Linked DNA regions of Caenorhabditis elegans. The protein of the gene in region 2 purifies or fractionates together with the protein of the main gene of each other region. This does not show direct contact. Each region holds a gene or a part of one and is shown on either strand. Other genes may lie near its edges.

Region 1 (4,809 bases), on a different chromosome or scaffold from region 2:
AAATGAATTTATTTATCGAAAATAAGCTTTTTAAGTTATTTTCAGAAAATTAGATTTTTTTTTTGATTTTCTCTGAAAAAAAAATCGATTTTTACCGATAACAGCTCAAAAAGCATTAAAAATTCATAAAAAGTAAAATGTTGCCGAACAATTTTTTATTCCAAACCAGGGGTGTGCGGCAAATTTGCCGATTTGCCGAAAATTGCCGACTTGCCGAATTCGGCAAATTTAAAAAAACCAGCAATTGCCGATTTGCCGAGCTCGGCAATTTTCAAAAAAGTAGATTTTCCGAATTTGCCGAGCTCGGCAAATTTCGAAATTTGCCGCACACGTGAAAAATTTGACAGTACAATTTTGAATAAAACTATTGATTTTTTAGCCAAAAATTTAGTAAAATGACACAAAATTGAGCTATTTTGATGCTTAAACAGACATACTACGCGGAACTTATTCAGAAACCAGATGTGTGTTAAGAATTCAGTAGTTTTGGTGCTCCACAAAACATAAAAAATATCAAATTTTTCCGAGTTTGTTAAGCACGGCAAATTTGCCGAATTTGCCGAATTTGCCGAGCTCTGCAAATTTGCCGAATTTGCCGTGCTCGGCAAATATTGAAAAAAGAGATTTGCCGAATTTGCCGAGCTCGGCAAATTTTGAAAAACCAGCAATTGCCGATTTGCCGAGCTCGGCAATTTTTTCCATTTGCCGCACACCCCTGTTCCAAACTAGACTACACAATTTTCAACTTTTTAATTATCAAAATTCAAAAAATCTGTAAATTTTCGATTTTTTTCAGAGAAAATTGAAAAATATCGATTTTTTCTCCAAAAAAAGTGAAAAATGGCCAAAAATACAATTTTTTTTTCGACATTCGAAAAATATCGATTCTTCTTCAAAATTTTCAAAGCTATGTCTTCCAAAAAATTCGTTTCAAAACTCCGTACATCGTTGATTTTCGGAATAACCCGCAGAAGCTCGCCAGTCCGATGCGAAAGCACAATATTCGATCCGGTCGCATCCATCACATCAACACTTTCAGTCTTTCTAGTCTCCCAGGGCCGGGCCGTAAACGCGTACTGCTTGCTGGTAAGAGCTCCGACCGGACAAATATCGATAATATTCCCAGAGAGCTCTGAAGCAAAAAATTTCTCGACGTAGGTGCCAATTTGAAGATCTTGTCCTCGTCCGGTGGTGCCGAAATCCGGAAAAGCGGCCACTTCATTAGCGAATCGGACACATCGAGTACACTGAATACATCGAGTCATCACAGTTTTCACCAACGGCCCGATATTCTTATCCTCGAGAGCCCGTTTTCCATCGAATCTCGACTGAAGCCGCCCACGATCGGATCCGAAATTCATCGCCTGATCCTGTAGATCACATTCGCCACCTTGATCACAAATCGGGCAGTCGAGTGGATGGTTGTTGAGCATGAACTCCATCACCCCTTCGCGAGCTTTTTTCACGAAATCCGAGTTGGTTTTGACTTTCATTCCGTTCATGACAGGCATCGCACATGATGCGACAGGCTTCACCGACTTCTCCACCTCTACCAGACACATTCGGCAGTTTCCGGCAATTGAGAGACGGTCGTGATAGCAGAAGCGTGGGATGTCGACGCCGACGAGCGCGCACGCTTGGAGAATCGTCATTCCCGGGTCGACGAGCACTTTTTTGTCGTCGATGAAGACTTCGACCTGGAAGAAAATGAGGTGATTTTTAGTGGTTTTTTTGTTGATTTTTACAGGGAAAATCGAAAAATTTCGATTTTTTTTATTTGAAAATCGAAAAAAAATTTTTTTTTTAAGTTTTTTGTTTTCGGAAAATGGAAGAAATTTGTTTCGTTTTTTTTTTTTTTTAATTGAAAAAAATGTTGGGTTTTTAGGTTCCGGAAAATCGAAAAATATATATTTACGATATATTTTTAAAAATTGAAAAAAAAACGAATTTTCGATTTTTTACAGGAAAAATCATCGAAAAAATTCTGATTTTTTGAACTGAAAGCTAAATTTTTAGATTTTTTACAGGAAAATTAGATTTTTTAAAATTGAAAAACGTAATTTTTCGATTTTTTTTTAATTGAAAAACGTGCTTTTTTCATTTTATGTTTTTTTTGTTGATAAATTTAAAAACGAAATGTTTCGATCATTTTAATTGAAAAAAAAAATTAGATTTTTTACAGGAAAAATCGAATAATTTTTATTTTTTTGTAAAAAAAATTGTCAGAGAAAATCGAGCATTTAAAAAAAAATTCGATGTTTACAGGAAAAATCGAAAAAATTCCGATTTTTGAACCGAAAAACTAAATTTTTGATTTTTTTACAGGAAATAACGATTTTTTTTTCAATTGAAAAACGAAGAAATTTAGATTTTTGTTTAAATTAAATAACGTACTTTTTCGATTTGTTCTTTTTTCGGAAATTAAAAAAACTAAATTTTCCGTTTTTTAAAGGAAAAATCTAAAAATTTTTGATTTTTCGAACCGAAAAACGGAATTTTTCGATTTTTTTAATTGAAAAACGAAAACATTTTTGATTTTAGTAAAACATCATTGCACCATGTATTTTGTAAAATTTTCAATTAATAATTAGTGCCAAAATATAGAAAATCACTCGATTCATCGAGAAAATCACATTAATTTCGGATGAAACAGTTGAGAAAAAGCTCAAAACTGTCTTTTTGAGCGCTTTCTCCAACATTTCAGCTAAAATCAAAGTGATTTTCCGATAAATCGAGCGATTTTCTATATTCTGGCACTAATTTTAAATGGAAAATGATGGAAAATTGGAGATTGTAGATGAAATTAAGCTTTTTTTTTGAATTTCTCGCTAGTTAATTCGTTATTTTTTTGCCAAATCCATTTTTCTTCAATTTTTCCGCCGAAAATTCCAGTTTTTTCACCTTTTTCGGTGGAGCCGGAGCCGCCACCGAAAGCGATCTCTTCTGTTGAGCCTTCGACACTCCGCGGACAATTTGTCCACCGACGCGATGCATGGTGCTCTGAAATTGCAATTACTTCCTGAAATTTTTTCCGAAAAATTGAGAGAAAATAAATATAAATCTCGGTAGAAAATTAACCGAATTTCAATTTTTAGAGGAAAAAAAATCAATAAATACCATTTAAACCACCGAATATACAAGAAATAGGGCAAAAAAAAAGAATAAATAATTAATAATTAATTACAACCAAGTTTTAGCTAGTTTTAGCTAGTTTTTAGCGAAAAAAATCGAAAAAAATCAGAAAAAATCCCGTTTGTTAGCATCATTAGCAGGCGAAAGTAAAAATAAAAAATTTTTCGAAAAACTTTTTTTTTCGTTGGGGAATGAGTAGACATTGAATATTACACAGAAAGGGAAGGATATGCACATTTTTTTCAAAAAAAAAAATTTTTTAGACGTGTGGAAGACGAGAATCTTCGACGGCGACGCGAATATTCGGATTGGCCATTGGATCGAAAAGGGGGTCCGATGAGTGCTCGCCGCTGTATCCGGCACGCTTCATCACCATTATAATCTGGAAAAATACAATTTATTTGGAATTAAATGAAGTTAGAATCTAAATTTGCTTGATAAGACTCATAAACACTCAAAATTTGCTTAAAAAGCCATAAAATTCGCTCAAAAATACTCAAAATTCACTCAAAAAAAGTCAAACTTTGATCAAAAAGCCTTAACATTTCCTTCAAAAATACTCAAAAATTGCTCTAAAATACTCAAAAAATTGCTCAAAAAGACAATAAATTTGCTCAAAAAGCCTTAAAATTTGATCAAAATGACTCAAAATTTGCGAAATTTGATTAAAAACACTCAAAATTTGCTCAAAAAGCTCAAAATTCGCTTAAAAATACTCAAAATCGCTCAATTTTAGCTAAAATACACCAATTTCGCCGACTTTTCCGTGTCGCAGCGGTCGGAAATTGACTTATATTTTATTTTCATGAAATTTCATCGTTTATTTTATATTTTTATTGTTTATTACACATTTTTTCGCTATTTAATGTACATTTTAAGCCACACGGCAGACGTTGAGCGCAAAAAATTGTGGGCGGGGTCTGGACCGCAATTCTGCGGCGCGCGATTTCGCAACTCCGCCGCGCTGTTTTTTTGTCAGTCGAAATTTTTTTTTCATGAGATTTTATCGAAATATCTCGAAAAAATCACGATATACTGGAAATTTTATTCGAAAAATGCGAAAAAAAACTTAAAAACTTGTAAAAAATAGTCGCGCGGTGGAGTTGCGAAACATCGCGCCGCAGGATTGCGGTTTAGGCTCCGCCCTCACGTCGTTTTCGGTTTATATGCTTCAAATGTACACTAAATAACGAAAAAAACGTGAGAAAAACGATAAAAATTGAAAATAAACTGTGATAAAATCAAATAAAAGCGAATTTCCGACAGATGCAACACGGAAAAGTCGGCGAAATTGATGTATTTTAGCTAAAATTAGGCCATTTTTTCAGGGAAAAAATATTTTTTTGGCGTTTTTGAGTCTATAAAAGTCGCTTTTTAAAATCCAACCGTAATCAAAGCCAAAACGGCCAGGAAAATCACGAAAAGCGCGATTTTTTTCGCGGAAGCCCGTTCCTGTGGGACCCCGGAGCCGCCATGTTTTGCTCTCCAGAGCCCGCGCATCCAATCCATCGTCGGGCGCCGTTTATATTTATTCTCCTCGTTATCGGCGTCACGGAGCTGTAAAAGTGGACGAGTATCGCTTGAAGATTCGGCTCCGTAGTTCTTTTTTCGCGCAAAAGTGACGTCATTGTTGGAGACCGAGTAGGAAGCGGTGTCTTCCATTTCCAGATGGGTTGC
Region 2 (10,571 bases):
AGCTAGAAAAAAGAGCAAAAAAAAAAAGAGAGAAGAAAGATCATAAAGTAACAATATTTGAAGACAAATGTACTGGGGCGAGTACCCGTTGTCATTCGCGGCGTGCACAAACCAAGTGGATTGCTTTCGGCTCCTTCGCGCGATGAAAGCCGATCCCAACATGCCGGACACCAATGGTAACACGGTGCTTCATCTGACAGTTATACATGATCTACCTGAAATGTTCATGTTGGCAGTGGAACTCGGCGCTAATTTGCACGTGAGAAACAATTTAAAGCTTACGCCTTTAGCATTGGCAGCTAGACTGGCAAAGAAGCATATTTACGATTTGATATTGGAATGTGACATGGACATTTCATGGAGGTATGGACCGGTGGTCTGTAAGGCCTATCCACTTAATGATGTGGACACTATCAACGAAAGTGATGGCTCGCTCAACCCAAACTCAGTTATAGCGAATGTAGTGTACGGAGTGAGTCATTTTTGTACTTGTTTGCTTTCTTCTTGAACACACTACATGTGCTCTATACAGGACAAAGTGGATCATTTGGAGTTTTTTGATGGGCTCATTGAGGAAGTCTTGGAGAGCAAGTGGGAGACTTTCGGCAAAAAACAACTTTTTATGTCACTCGCTGGATATATATACTTTCTGGCGGTGTTTTATCTCGCTTTCATGACCAGAGATGCCCACATTCTCGTGAGTAAATGCTAGTTAATAAATGAAAACACATGAACATTTGAAGCCAAGTGATGAGGACGAAAATGAAAAGTTTGGAATGATTGAACTAGATTTCTCAAATTTCACAAATATTCTCAGCGAGGGGTTAAGTTTGAGAGAACATTTAGCAATTGCGAGAATGGCAGAAAGAGAAGCTCTACCAGCACACTGCCATCTTTGGGATTATTCAGGACCATCGCAACAGGTAAAAGGCAGGGTATTTTATAGAAAAAAAATCGACTATAGAGTGTGGCCCACAAAATAAAACTTTTCAACTGGTACAGTATTTGTAACACTATTTATTAGAATAGTTTTTAGACGAAAAAGCCTCTTTAGTGGGGCTCAGTCCCAGCCCCACAGTGAAAAATTTGTTCTTCGAAGTACACAGTTCTTTAGGAAAATCACGGCGAAAAGCCAAAAATCCTGACCCCCAACCAATGTCAGCCGCCGACATCTCACGAGTTTCGCGCCCCACAGTGTTTACCGTGAAAGTGCGCCGAGAGTTCAGCGTCTTATCTTGCTAAAGTGAACGCTGCAGGGCGCCGAACTCATGAGATGTGGGCGGATGATATTGGTTGGTGTCCGGATTTTTTTTCCAAGCCCAAAATTCGACAATTATTGAGTACCAGTATAATCATGGACTCACTGTAATGCTATTCATAATTATTATTAATATGTCTAACCATATAATGATTCTTTTTGAAACGTTAGGCATTTTTTTTTACTTTAGATTGGCTGGAGGTCAAATTGGAAAAAATTTTGATGGTAAATGGAAAATTCCAAACATCTTGTAGTAACTACAACATGTTGGGTTTCGATCCTACTAGCACTTAATTCTTTCTTTCTCATTCAGATTCGCATGATAAGTGAAATTCTGTGTCTACTCGCAGTAGTAATCCGAACATTTAAAGACTGCATTGATGCTCACCGAACAGGTGTTTCTCGCTGGTGGAACTCTATTGTACGTACCTGAACTATCCTCCTCTCCGAATTTCTCGTTAAATTTCAGAAGGCCTTCCCTGAGAAAGTTCTCCATAAGTTCTGCCAAATTCTTGTGTTATGCACAGTTCCACTCCGTGTTGGATGTTATTTGGACGATAGTTTTCTAGTCATTGAGAACTTGCTAGTGGTGTGCATTGTAATCATGAGTACTTTGCATTTTCTTTTTTATTGCAGGTTTGTCTTTTAGAAGTTTGAAGATACAAGTTTGAACTTATGACAAAGTTTTTCAGAAGTCTTAAATTTGTCGGGCCATTTGTGTTGATGGTGTACAAAATTATTGTGAGAGATATGCTGCGATTTTTGCTTATATACTCGTTTTTCTTAATGGGATTTGCACAAGGTGAGTGTTTTCATAATTTCAATTGTCGAAGTATTTTCCAGCATTTTTTGTTATATTCAAATCCTGTGAGAGAGCAGAAATTGCTTATCAGAAAGCTCATAACTATACTGAAGACGATGAATATATTGAGAAGTAAGAAAACATTTCTTATCACGATTTTATACTACCTAATGTTTTTTAGATTTGAAAACATCATGGAAGATGGTTGGGAGGCAGTGATGAGAATGTTTATTATGAGTGTGGGAGAATTTGGTGCACTTTATAAAAACTTGAACGAGTGCAAAAGCAGCATTGCTCCACAGTCCAAGGTTACAAAAAAAGCTCTTTTCAGGCTTACAAGCTCGTTTTAAGGTATTTTTCATCCTCTTCGAGTTAATTGTGACTGTTATGCTTCTGAATCTACTAATTGCTATGATGACTCGTACTTATGAGAAAATTGCCGAAACTGAGAAAGAATGGAAGCGTCAGGTGATTTTTTTATACTTCAACATTTTATTTTCAAGTTTCACCATTTTACTTTCCAGTGGGCGCAAGTAATTTTAATGTTAGAGCAGTCATCTTCAGCCTCGGAACGCCTCCTATCACTTTATCGTTATACTCGGCCAATACGTTCCGATAAACGAAGAAGAGCATTTGTTGTGAAAGTGAAGTCGAATGTAAGTGAATCTATAAATTTTCCCTAATTTATACTAGAATTTGAAAAAAATTAACTTTATTTCTTATTGTACAAATTTGATGGCAAGACTTGGTGATTCCCGAATCCTATTAAAGGTTGTGTAGTCGAATATTTTTAATGCTTTATTAGACTTGAAATTGTCTGAAAACACCGAATTTCATAATGAAACTTCTTGAAAACTTCTCAAAAAAAAGTTATGACGCGTGAAAAAGTGACCTAAAATTAGTTAAATTTTGAAATTTGACCGACTTGCCTATGTCGCAGCGGCTGGAAACAATTTTTTTTTGAAATTACCGTCAAATTTTGAATAAACCGTGTAATTATCTTGTGTTTTCAACTTTATTTAGGTACTTTAAAGTCGATGGAAGGCAAGATTTGGTTTAAAATAATTTAAAAATCTCGCCGTTATTCTAGCGAATTTTGGGCCATTTTGTGAGCCGTCATAACTTTTTTTAAAAAGAAGTTTTCAAGAAGTTTCATTATGAAATTTGGCATTTCCAGACAATTTTGAGTCTAATAAAGCAATAAAAAAATTCGACTACACCACCTTTAATGTCTTCAGAAATATCCTAACTTGGTTTAAGCACATTTTGTTAGTTTTGTAAAAATTATAGGAAAACATAATTTTTGCTGAAACTGAAAAATTTGTAATCAAACTTTTCCTCTCGAAAAAAACCTCACAAAATTTATATCATTTTTTTAGTTTTCAAATATATTTTTTCAGGACCGCCAGCAACCACAACTCAAATTAATTCCACCGCGTGGAAAACCGTCAATCCGCTTGTCAAACAACAGTTCCATTCATGTCTTACATGTTCTATCAAAACATGCTTCGTAAAAACTAAAAAAATTTCAATTATTCGTTTATTAATTTTTGCCGTAATAAAGTGTTCATAGTCCTCGTCGTTTCATGCCATTTGGCCAGTGACGTATGTGCGCACGAAACGCGCAAGCGAGAAGGGATGCGTCAGCAATGAGTCGGGAAAGGCGTCTCTCATTTTTTGGACCTATTTTTGTGAAAAATGAAGTTATTTTTAGTTTTCCATTTAATATTTAAACAAAAAATGAATAAATTTGATAAATTATGCACTTTTTATAACCGTATTGTTCAATTTTACCCAATTTTTGAAAATTATCTAGTTTTTCTTTGAAAATCTAGTTTTTTCAGAATGCTTAGCCGCAACATTGGAGCTGTTCGCGGAGCCCATAAGGCAGCAACGACAAAACCAGTCGAAAAAGTGGCCAAACTTGGAAATGGATTGACCGTTGGAACTATCGACTCTCACAAACCAATTGCACATTTGGTTTTTTTTTAATTTGTTTCTTCTATCCGAAATCATCTTCAAATTTTAGGTTCTTGCCTTCAGAGCTGGAAGTCGCTACGAAAAAGCCAACCAGGCCGGACTCTCTCATACCATCAGAAATTTCGTCGGCAGAGATACCCAGGAATACTTTGGAAACACAGTTGTATGGACGTTGTCACAGACCGGAGGAGTTCTGGTGAGCAAGAAAAAAAAATCGATAAAGTTGAATCTACTGGGCGTTAGAAAAGAACTAAGAATTTTAATGTAAATTTGAAGAAAGATTGCATAATACATTCACAGTTTTTTTTAGAAAAGATTTGTTAGAAAAAAAATTTGGAATTAAGTATTTTGTATCAAAATTTCAGAAAAAATGTGGTCTAATTAACTTGGAGCAAAATTATCAAATTTTCATGAGCATTCCAAAAAGTCTCACAGACATAGCGAGGGTGATGTTTCAGAAATCCTTCACCTCCCGCGATCTTTTCGGAGTCTCCCTCACAATTCCACGCGAAAGCACTTCCGTCGGACTTTCCGTATTGGGACAAGTCGCTGGTAACCCAGGATTCAAGCCATGGGAAGTCGAGGATGTGCTGCCAACTATGCGCGCTGACAACGGATACAGAACCGCTTACGACTTGGTTGTTGACCAGATTCACAAGGCCGCTTACAGGTTTGGCATTGAGAAGCTTTCGAGAATTCATTGAGCAAAACTTTTTTTTTTAGAAATGGAGGACTTGGAAACTCAATCTATGCACCATGCTCTAAAATTGGATCGATCTGCACATCAACTTTGTCCTCATTTGCAGTAAGTTGCTTATTCTTATCTGCAAGTTTTCAATTTTAAAATTTCAGGAGCAGCACTTCGTCACAGGAAACGGAGTATTGTTTGCCACTAATGCTGTTCACGATGACCTTCTTCTCTATGGAGACAATCACGCCCCAATCAGAAGTGGAAACGCTGCGTCCCCATCTTCAAGTGCTTACAAGGTGAGTTCTTGAAAACGAATATTTATTCAGTGGAGTTGGATAACAAAGTCATAAATAATGTCATGAGAAGTGTCACGCATCTACCAACGTCTCTGGTAGCTTCCAGTTTGTGGTGGAGATGGAGCATCGTATCCTCCTGATGGCTGCTCTGGCTTGGCTGGTGGTGGGACGGAATAAGCTGGCTCAGCTGGATAGCTTGGGGATGGGTAGCTCGGAGATGGGTAGCTTGGGGATGGATAGCTTGGAGATGGATAGCTTGGAGACGGGTAGCTTGGTGATGGATGAGCTGGCTCTTGTGGAGCTGGGGATGGGTATCCAGAATCTGGAGTCTCTGGCTCTCTGACTGGTGGCTGTGAAGCTGGTGCTGGACGAGTTGTTGCTGGTGGAGCGCGGGTGGTTGCTGGTGGAGCACGAGTTGCTGGTGGAGCGCGAGTTGCTGGTGGAGCACGAGTTCCTGGAGCAGCAGTGGATCCACGTGGTGGTGGCTGTGGAGCGGATGTTCCAGATGATGGTGGGGTTCTGTCGTCTTGTCTTTGTGGGCATGGGCAGTAGTTGGCATCTTTTCCTGAAACAATTTAAAATGTTTCATCACTGTTTGTTCAAGAAATTCCTAGTAACAACAACAAAAATTTTACCTGGAGCTCCTGGCTTTCCAGCTTGTCCCGGGGTTCCTGGGAAGGCGTCGTGACCAGCGTTTCCTGGAGTTCCTGGTGCTCCTTGTGGTCCCTCCTCTCCGTCCTTTCCTGGCTCTCCATGTTGTCCTGGAAGTCCTGGCTCTCCCAACCATCCTGGCTCTCCTGGCTGTCCAGCTTGTCCTGGGAAGTATGTGGTTCCTGGCTGTCCGTCTGGTCCGTCGGTCCCATCGTATCCCTTTGGTCCTTGTTCTCCTTGATCTCCTGGGGCTCCCTCCTGTCCTGGGGCTCCATCTTCACCGGATGGTCCGGATTGCCCTTGAAGTCCTGGGAATCCTTCTGGTCCAGAGTCTCCATCAGGCCCTGGTGGTCCAGCTGGTCCCTCTGGGCATTTAATGCATCCTCCTGGAATATCGTGAGTGGTTGCAAGAGAGATACCACTGGCTCCACGTCTTCCTTCATCTCCTGGATGTCCTTCGTCTCCACGCTTTCCTGGGTTTCCTGGTGGTCCTGGTGCTCCTGCTGGGCATCCTTGAGAGTTGCTGTCGCAATTGCACATTCCTGGGTACACAAATCTCTTGTTACGGAGGAGGGATGGCACTGGATTGGCAGATTCTCCTGTTGGAGATTGAAGAATCAGGAGACGATCCCAAGTATCATCGGCAAGAACTTTGAACTCATCAACGCGTCCTTCAACTTCGGAACGAAGGTTGTTAATATCTTGAACAATATGTCCAATTGAGCAAAGAGCGGAGAAAACTCCGAGCAAGCAGACGCCTGCCCCAATATAGCCAAGAGTAGACATCGTTGAGAACAATGTTGTGTATTGCTTTGGTGAACACTTTTTTATACATTTTTCTCCGAAAAAACTCGAAAGCCGGCAAGAACTTGCAAGGGCAAGGGGGAGGCTGGGAAAACTTAGAAACTTAGACACGCAACAGATCGGGAAGAACGCGCCGATAAAAAATTACCGGTCCTAGTCGTATGACAGATATCGCAATGCGACGGATATTCAGTATACCTTTGGCATGAAGAGGAAAAAACTTGCTACTATTGTTTCTTTCCCCGAAAAAATGCAATCACTCATTTTGGATTTGGAAATAGAACAGAAAAACTTTGCAAATTTCAATTTCATTATCCACTCCACTGTTTATGTTATCTATACTATCATTTCTCACCTTTTCTGACACCTAGGGAGGAGAAGTGCGCAGAGATGCCGATTCGAAGTACGCGCATGTGATTGTCGCTGGAGAAGGAGCTGCCGGAAACAACACGAAAGCATTGGCCACCCAAGCAGTTCTCCTCACCGCACTTGGAAATTCATCACCAGTCAAGTAATACAAAAAAGGAATTACAATGTTCACACTTGAAATGATTAATTTCAGATTCAACACCGGAACCACTGGAGTCATCGCAAAAGCCGTCGGACAGAATGGATCGGCCAGCGCATTCCAAGCTGTTCATGCGGATAGTGGACTGGCCGGAGTATACCTTGTCGTTGAAGGAAGCCAGGCTAACCAAGCTGTTTCGAATGTAGTTGGAGCATTGAAGTCTTTGAAGGTCGCTGATATTGAAGGTAAGAAATTTTGTTTTTTAGAGTATAAATTTGATAAAATGGGATCACACTATTTTTGTACATCGATATTTCTGAAATTATAAAAAAAAATAAAAATTAAATAAAGATATGCTTCTAGGATGTTCTACAACATTCTATAATAAAATAGTCCAGAAAGCTGCAGAACTTTCCGGGGCAAAACTTTCAAAATTTTCGGAGAAAACTTTTTTCACGACCTAATACTTGACATTTTTGTATGTAGATTTACAATTTGAGCCGCCTTAGAGAAGGGCTTTTGTATAAATATGATTTTTAGAGGCCTATACTGAAAACCCAAAATATAAATTGTGTTCTTGTGGTAGAGTTGAACTTAACTAAACTAGACTAAAGCTAAACTATGCTAACCTTGTCGTAAAATTTAAGCGAAATGGAATATTTCTAGCACAAAACTAATTGCAGATTTTTAGGTTGATGGTAATTTCAAACTACTGTGACGTTACCGACTTAATCGGTTTTTGTATTAATTTCAACTTTCAGCCGTCAAGAAGCAGGCCTTCAACAACGCCTTGAGAGCCTCTGCTCATTCCGACAACTTTGCCATCGAGAGAGCCTCCCAACTCTTCCAGTCCCAAGACAATTACATTCAACAGATTCCAAATGTGTCGGCTAGTGATGTTGAAGTTGCCGCCAAGAAATTGACTACCAAGTTGTCGTTGGCCAGTTATGGAAATGTCTCAGAAGTCCCATATGTTGATACTCTGTGAGCATCTAGTTAAATTAAATGATTTTACTCCAGTAGACGAACGCATTTTGTTATTTTTTGGTCAATTTGTTTTCCGTCTCATATGACTATTTTTTTGCTGTCAATAAAAGGTACTAGACTTTGAAATTTGTTTGTTCAATGAACAAAAAAATAAAGAAATTATTCACGTAATCAAAAACAGACAGAAAAAAAAAGTAAGCTCGAATAAGCTTATACATATACCGAGGGTGAATAAGTGAATTGTAAATGTGAGAGTTAGGCTTTGAAACGTTCGGGAGAAGCGGGAAAGAATGACAACTTAAACGTGTAAAAACATGAAATTCCGTATAATCTAGTTTGGGGTGTGAGCATTGAAATGTGCAGGATAACAACAACAAAAAGGTGGGTTGAAAGAAATCTGGGAAATTAACAGTTATTAGCCGTGACGAACAGAAGCACCGGGGGCTCTGCACAAATGGGCCCGCGATAGACTACAATTAAATGAGACAAGTTCGAAGGAACAGAGTTGAAGGTGGGAAGAGGAGATGACATGAGCTACTGAGCTACTTTATAAGTGTTAAGGCTGAAATGGAAATGAATGTGTATGGGGAAAATTGGGACAAAAAAAGTACAAAAGTACAATGGGTACCCGGACCAGGTAGCGATTATCATGGAGTTAACTCTTGATGAGTAAAGAAATGGAGATGCGAATTAGACTGGCCACAGCGTGTTGGCGGAGCAGCAAGTGTTATGGATGATTTTTCCAATCGGTGTCTAGAAATTATATTTAATTAGTTACTAAGTTTCTCTATTAACATACCTTAATCAAATCATCATCAAGCTTTGCCCAACGGACACCGTAACTGCTTTGAACAGCAGACGCAAGCCGTTCCAGCTCCTTATCGAATCGGACGAAGAAGTAATGAATGGTATCGTCTTTGGTGACCAAGCAAAGCGCAGGCGAGCGATTCCCAAAGAAGCTCTCCTTATCCTCCGGCTGACGAACAACTACCGATTGCTTGACGTTAATACCTCCAACTTCGTTGAGAAGGCGCAAGAATCCATCGGACCAGAACTTTTCGCCCTCTTGAACCAGTGCGATGCAGGTCTCCGTGACTACTGCAAGGCAAGATGCCATGTATGGCTGCGTCGTCTTATTCTCCGCAATCATTGTCAGGATTCTGGTCCATTCGATTTGATCCTCCTGGGTTGGGCACTCAAACTCAAATGTACCTTCTGCAGCTTTCATTTGGAAAGCAACTCTTCCTGTGCTATTGATACTGGAGCCACTGAAAATTATCAAATTATATATATTTTATTGAGTTGTCTAATGCACAAAAGCTGATTTTACTAACCTTAAGCTAATCACCAATTCTTCGGTCTTGCAGGTCGAGTCGGCAAACACATTAAAATTGTTGCCAACAATCATGCAGTACTTCTGCTCAGCCTCGTCGGAGCTCTTAATCCAGTTCCCAATGTTCGATTTGAACAAAAAACCGGATTTTGTTGCAGTCGATCGTTCACGCTCCTCATACGTCTGTTCGTACCAGAAGCACAGCGTCGCAGCACGAACATCAATTGTGCGTCCGAGTTGCTTCTCTAAATTTGGCTGAAGCATGCACATATATCCAATGTGGTCGTCAACTTCGGCATGGTTCGTAATCTGGCGACTGCTGTGCTCGACGAGGTTGATGAGCGAGTTGATCATGTGTGCACCGCTCTCCAATCCAGCCATTGAGCCGACGTACGCGAAAACTGTCTGGTCATCTTTCTCCTCGCTGTGCACATAGTGGCTGAAGCCTTCCTCATTGGCTTCCAACATGAATGACAAGTTATCAACGCTGATCTGAAAAAAGTTAAAGCTGAATTTCATGAAAATGTGATTTTGACCATTTTTGACTGTTCACGTGTAAAAATGCCATGATATCAATCACAGGGTTTTTAAAATTGCACAGAAGAGCTGGAAATGCTTACCTTGATGGTCTTGATCCGATCGTGTGGCATGCGGAACAGTGGGATGAAAAATCCTTCTGACGAGAGGTTTGTTGTTTTTCCTGGCGACGAATTCTGCGTGTGAGTTCGGTATTTGAAGACGTAGACGTTGTAGTTGGTCATAACAAGGTAGCGAAGCTTCATGTTGTCCGAGTGGAAGCTCTCGATCACTTTGAAACATTCGATGATTTTCTCTGACGACTTCTCGAATACGTTGATAGCAAGGTGCAAGACATCTCCTTGGCTCATTCTAAAACTAACTCAATTTGATCAGTAAAAGCTCAGTTTAAAACTCACTGGTATTCTCCATCTGCTAAATTATACTCTGGAAGCACCATATCATCTGGCTCGACGCTGGCCAAGATGTGCTCAATGCCATCTGGATTCATCGACTCCATATTCACACAAGACATTTTCTTGGTCATCACATCTTCCAGCTTTTCTTCAACAATCACCGACGGCGATGGAGCGTTGTCCTCATTATTTTCTTCGTGCTGAGCATCAAACAACTCGGTGTTGAGTCGGTTATGACGAGTGCGAACTAGCTCGTCGAGCAGAACATCCTGGTCAATTGCTTGCGATAGTATCGATGGAATTTCCGTTGGAATGACGTTTGGAACAGT
Region 3 (2,755 bases), on a different chromosome or scaffold from region 2:
TCACTTGTCCGGGATGCTTGTCGGGACGATTTTTTCGAACGAGAAATTTCATTTTCCGGTTCATGTCCTCGTTGAAAATCGCCGTTGATGCTTCCATCGACAGTGTTTTTCGTTGCATGTAGGGCTTCTGATAGAATTGAGTGCGGCGAATGATTTTCAGCATTCCTTCTGAATCCATCAATCTGAAATTATTTCAATCTTGAAATTATGTTCTGGGAATTTTTCCAAAGAAAACCTGTTAAGAAGTCCGAAAGCTCCATCGACATCATTGTTCTGCACCATTACTGTTCGAGTTGCGAATCTTGGATGTGAATTCCAAATTCCTTTGAAAAGTTTAATCGCGAACGGCTGAGAAATCGTTCCTCTCCAGGTGAATTGACGTACCATCTTTAAAACAATTATCAAAAAAATTCTAAATGAAAAACCGAATCGAACATTTATCTTTCATGGATGGATAAACCACATTTGACAGCGAATAAAATTGAGAAAAAGCGAAGAGAAAACAAGAATCGATTTATTGTTGTTCTCAAAAGTCTACACAATGGCTCGTGGCATAATATTACTTCTACTGTCTGCGGGCGGCAACACGGGCGTCAATCTCTTCTTGGACTTCTGGGGAGAGAGCATTATCCGGTCTTGGGCGAAGACTATCAAGTCTGAAGAGGACGGAAGTTGGGTATGCCATGAAAGCGACGCAGATGAGTCCGTAAAGGGCAACCTGAAAAAATTGGTGTTATAGTGAATAATATGGATATCTGGATAAATATGTTTTTGAGCAGCTAAATTAAAAGTGAGACAAATTTCAAAACTGTATCTTTTAGTTCAGAAATTAATTTTTCAAATCCATTCAAACGAATGTACAAACTGAAATTTAGTTTTTTTTGGTGAGCTAGTGGTATTTTAAGTTTTACTGCTCACAAGGATAAGTTCAAGACATTTAGCAAATAAAAAATTACCTTCTCGCTGACAGAGGTGAAACGGAGTGGTGGGGTCGAGTCAACTCCCTTGTGAAGCGAGCGACGGATGACATGTTGGCTTCTAGCCAAGGAGAGCACAGCACGGTTCAGCATCCTGCAATAAATCGTTTAAATTTACAGAGTAATTGAGCAAGCATGATAATCCATAGAAAACGAAACAGAGAATACGATTCAGGCGGTTATAAAAACAGAAACTATACGAAAATCGTTAATTCTACACAATGAATCAAAAAATTATTTGATTTTGCTAATGGATGAAGCTTGAAAGCTGAAAAATAGTAAAAATCTGCTTAAAAAATAATCGGCAGGCTGTGAGAGGTTAAAGGCGCAGAGACGGCTGACGGAAAACAAAAACAATCGTTGCGAGACCAGCCGCTTGGCTACGTGCCAAGTGTGAGAATACGGAAGGTGAGAAAGACGGAGACACTGCGAAGCGAGTGAACGGTGAATGCGAGACACCAAAACCCGGAAGTGGACAGGCAGAAATTGATTTTCTCGTTAAAAATTTTTTGTATTCAGAATTGCAATCAATTCAACTAATCAATATTGATATTTTCATCTTAAAGTTTATCTACTAATTAGTATTTAATCCCACAAACTCGTAAATTTCATCGCGACTCACGTTCCCCCGTTTCGCAGTGTCTCTTGTTTCGCATGCTGCGTCTCGTTTCTCTTCTTCTTCACATCTCCTCGAGGCTTACAGTTTTTTCAGCATATATTTCAGTTTTCCATCATTTTTCTGGAGTTTTTTATTGAAAAATGTTGTAACAGAAATAAATTTAAACATTTCGAAGCTATTTTCATGTTATTTTGTCCGTTGTTTCCCTTTCAATCGACTATTCGTTGAAGTTTTCGAGTTTTCCGTTAAAAATCGTTGTTTTCCAGAATCTACACATTCCAAATGGATGGTAATGATATAAATATACAAAAAAACGAGTTTTCTCGAGACCAATCAGCACTTCTAATGATGGATCAGCATTCCGACCATAAGAATCACGAATCGGCAATCGGCGAGCCAGGAATGTCATACACAGCCTCTCAACCGGCTCTTTCCTCTACTGAGCATCAAACGCCATTAGTTTCTGTACGATTTTTTATTTTTCTGCGATTATTCAATGATATTGATTACAGGAAGCAAGCGTCGCAGCTCCTCAAAATCATTTGAATGGCAATTCCCATGAATCGGTTTCCGAAATGGATAGAGTAAGTGTTTTATTCATTTAAAATTTTAAAAAAAGTCTCATCTCAGAATTCGGTTGATTTTGCGATAGAATCAGTGCTCATGAAAGTGAGTGTAACCTCCGATTTCACTGAACTTCCTCCATTTCTCAACGTAATTTTCCAGGCGAGAGCTTACAACAAGATGGGCGCTCCAAAAGATCCGAGGAGAAAGCAGCACAATCCGAAGAGCGAGCCTAAAATCGAGCCACATGTGACAGATTCATCGGATAATCAGGCTGCAATGAGCAACAAGATGGAAGCGGAAGCGCCGAAGATGGAGTCAAATCAGAACTACGTCAGCAACGGATCTGAGGTATGGTTTATTCTGAAATGTGGAAGATTATTTTCATTCAAAAAAAATTTATTTATAAATTTATAAATTTTTGAAAAAATTCAAATTTCCCGTGGCAATATCATACTGAACTTTTAAATGAAGAAAAAAAATTAATTGATAAATATCATCAAATTTTATTCCAGCCTCCATTCCGTTTCGTTTCAATTTCGAATTTCGACGAAATGAAAACAAAAAAGAAAGAAGTTCAAGAAGAATTGAAGCT

What was found. Proteins that work in one complex are often made in the same cells at the same time.
Region 1: the proteins of ucr-2.2 (region 2) and nuo-5 fractionate together in Caenorhabditis elegans (co-fractionation; one large-scale study listed by BioGRID). This does not show direct contact.
Region 3: the proteins of ucr-2.2 (region 2) and F29B9.11 fractionate together in Caenorhabditis elegans (co-fractionation; one large-scale study listed by BioGRID). This does not show direct contact.

What each region holds. Positions count from the first base shown.
Region 1 is NC_003283.11:2,697,163-2,701,971, reverse strand, and holds the start of nuo-5 (NADH-ubiquinone oxidoreductase 75 kDa subunit, mitochondrial), read right to left. Parts: upstream 3,001-4,809; 5' UTR 2,995-3,000; coding exon 2,902-2,994; intron 1,698-2,901; coding exon 945-1,697; intron 1-944. Other genes in the region: Y45G12B.2 (Zinc finger protein-like 1 homolog), read right to left, coding at 3,392-3,514, 4,519-4,809.
Region 2 is NC_003284.9:15,170,000-15,180,570, forward strand, and holds ucr-2.2 (Peptidase M16 N-terminal domain-containing protein), read left to right. Parts: upstream 1-3,904; 5' UTR 3,905-3,905; coding exon 3,906-4,040; intron 4,041-4,089; coding exon 4,090-4,236; intron 4,237-4,498; coding exon 4,499-4,710; intron 4,711-4,763; coding exon 4,764-4,845; intron 4,846-4,892; coding exon 4,893-5,027; intron 5,028-5,032; exon of another isoform or gene 5,033-5,107; coding exon of another isoform or gene 5,108-5,592; intron 5,593-5,662; coding exon of another isoform or gene 5,663-6,464; exon of another isoform or gene 6,465-6,482; intron 6,483-6,853; coding exon 6,854-6,993; intron 6,994-7,044; coding exon 7,045-7,235; intron 7,236-7,751; coding exon 7,752-7,978; 3' UTR 7,979-8,146; downstream 8,147-10,571. Other genes in the region: ocr-3 (Ion transport domain-containing protein), read left to right, coding at 64-472, 533-697, 744-923, 1,572-1,679, 1,728-1,894, 1,951-2,060, 2,102-2,192, 2,242-2,368 and 3 more; col-41 (Nematode cuticle collagen N-terminal domain-containing protein), read right to left, coding at 5,108-5,592, 5,663-6,464; pkhm-2 (PH domain-containing protein), read right to left, coding at 8,668-8,730, 8,777-9,245, 9,312-9,802, 9,931-10,204, 10,246-10,571.
Region 3 is NC_003282.8:4,659,131-4,661,885, forward strand, and holds F29B9.11 (Cytochrome c oxidase polypeptide VIIc), read right to left. Parts: upstream 1,072-2,755; 5' UTR 1,071-1,071; coding exon 957-1,070; intron 719-956; coding exon 566-718; 3' UTR 501-565; downstream 1-500. Other genes in the region: mrps-21 (Mitochondrial Ribosomal Protein, Small), read right to left, coding at 1-182, 236-387; jmjd-1.2 (JmjC domain-containing protein), read left to right, coding at 1,879-2,061, 2,109-2,180, 2,227-2,511, 2,676-2,755.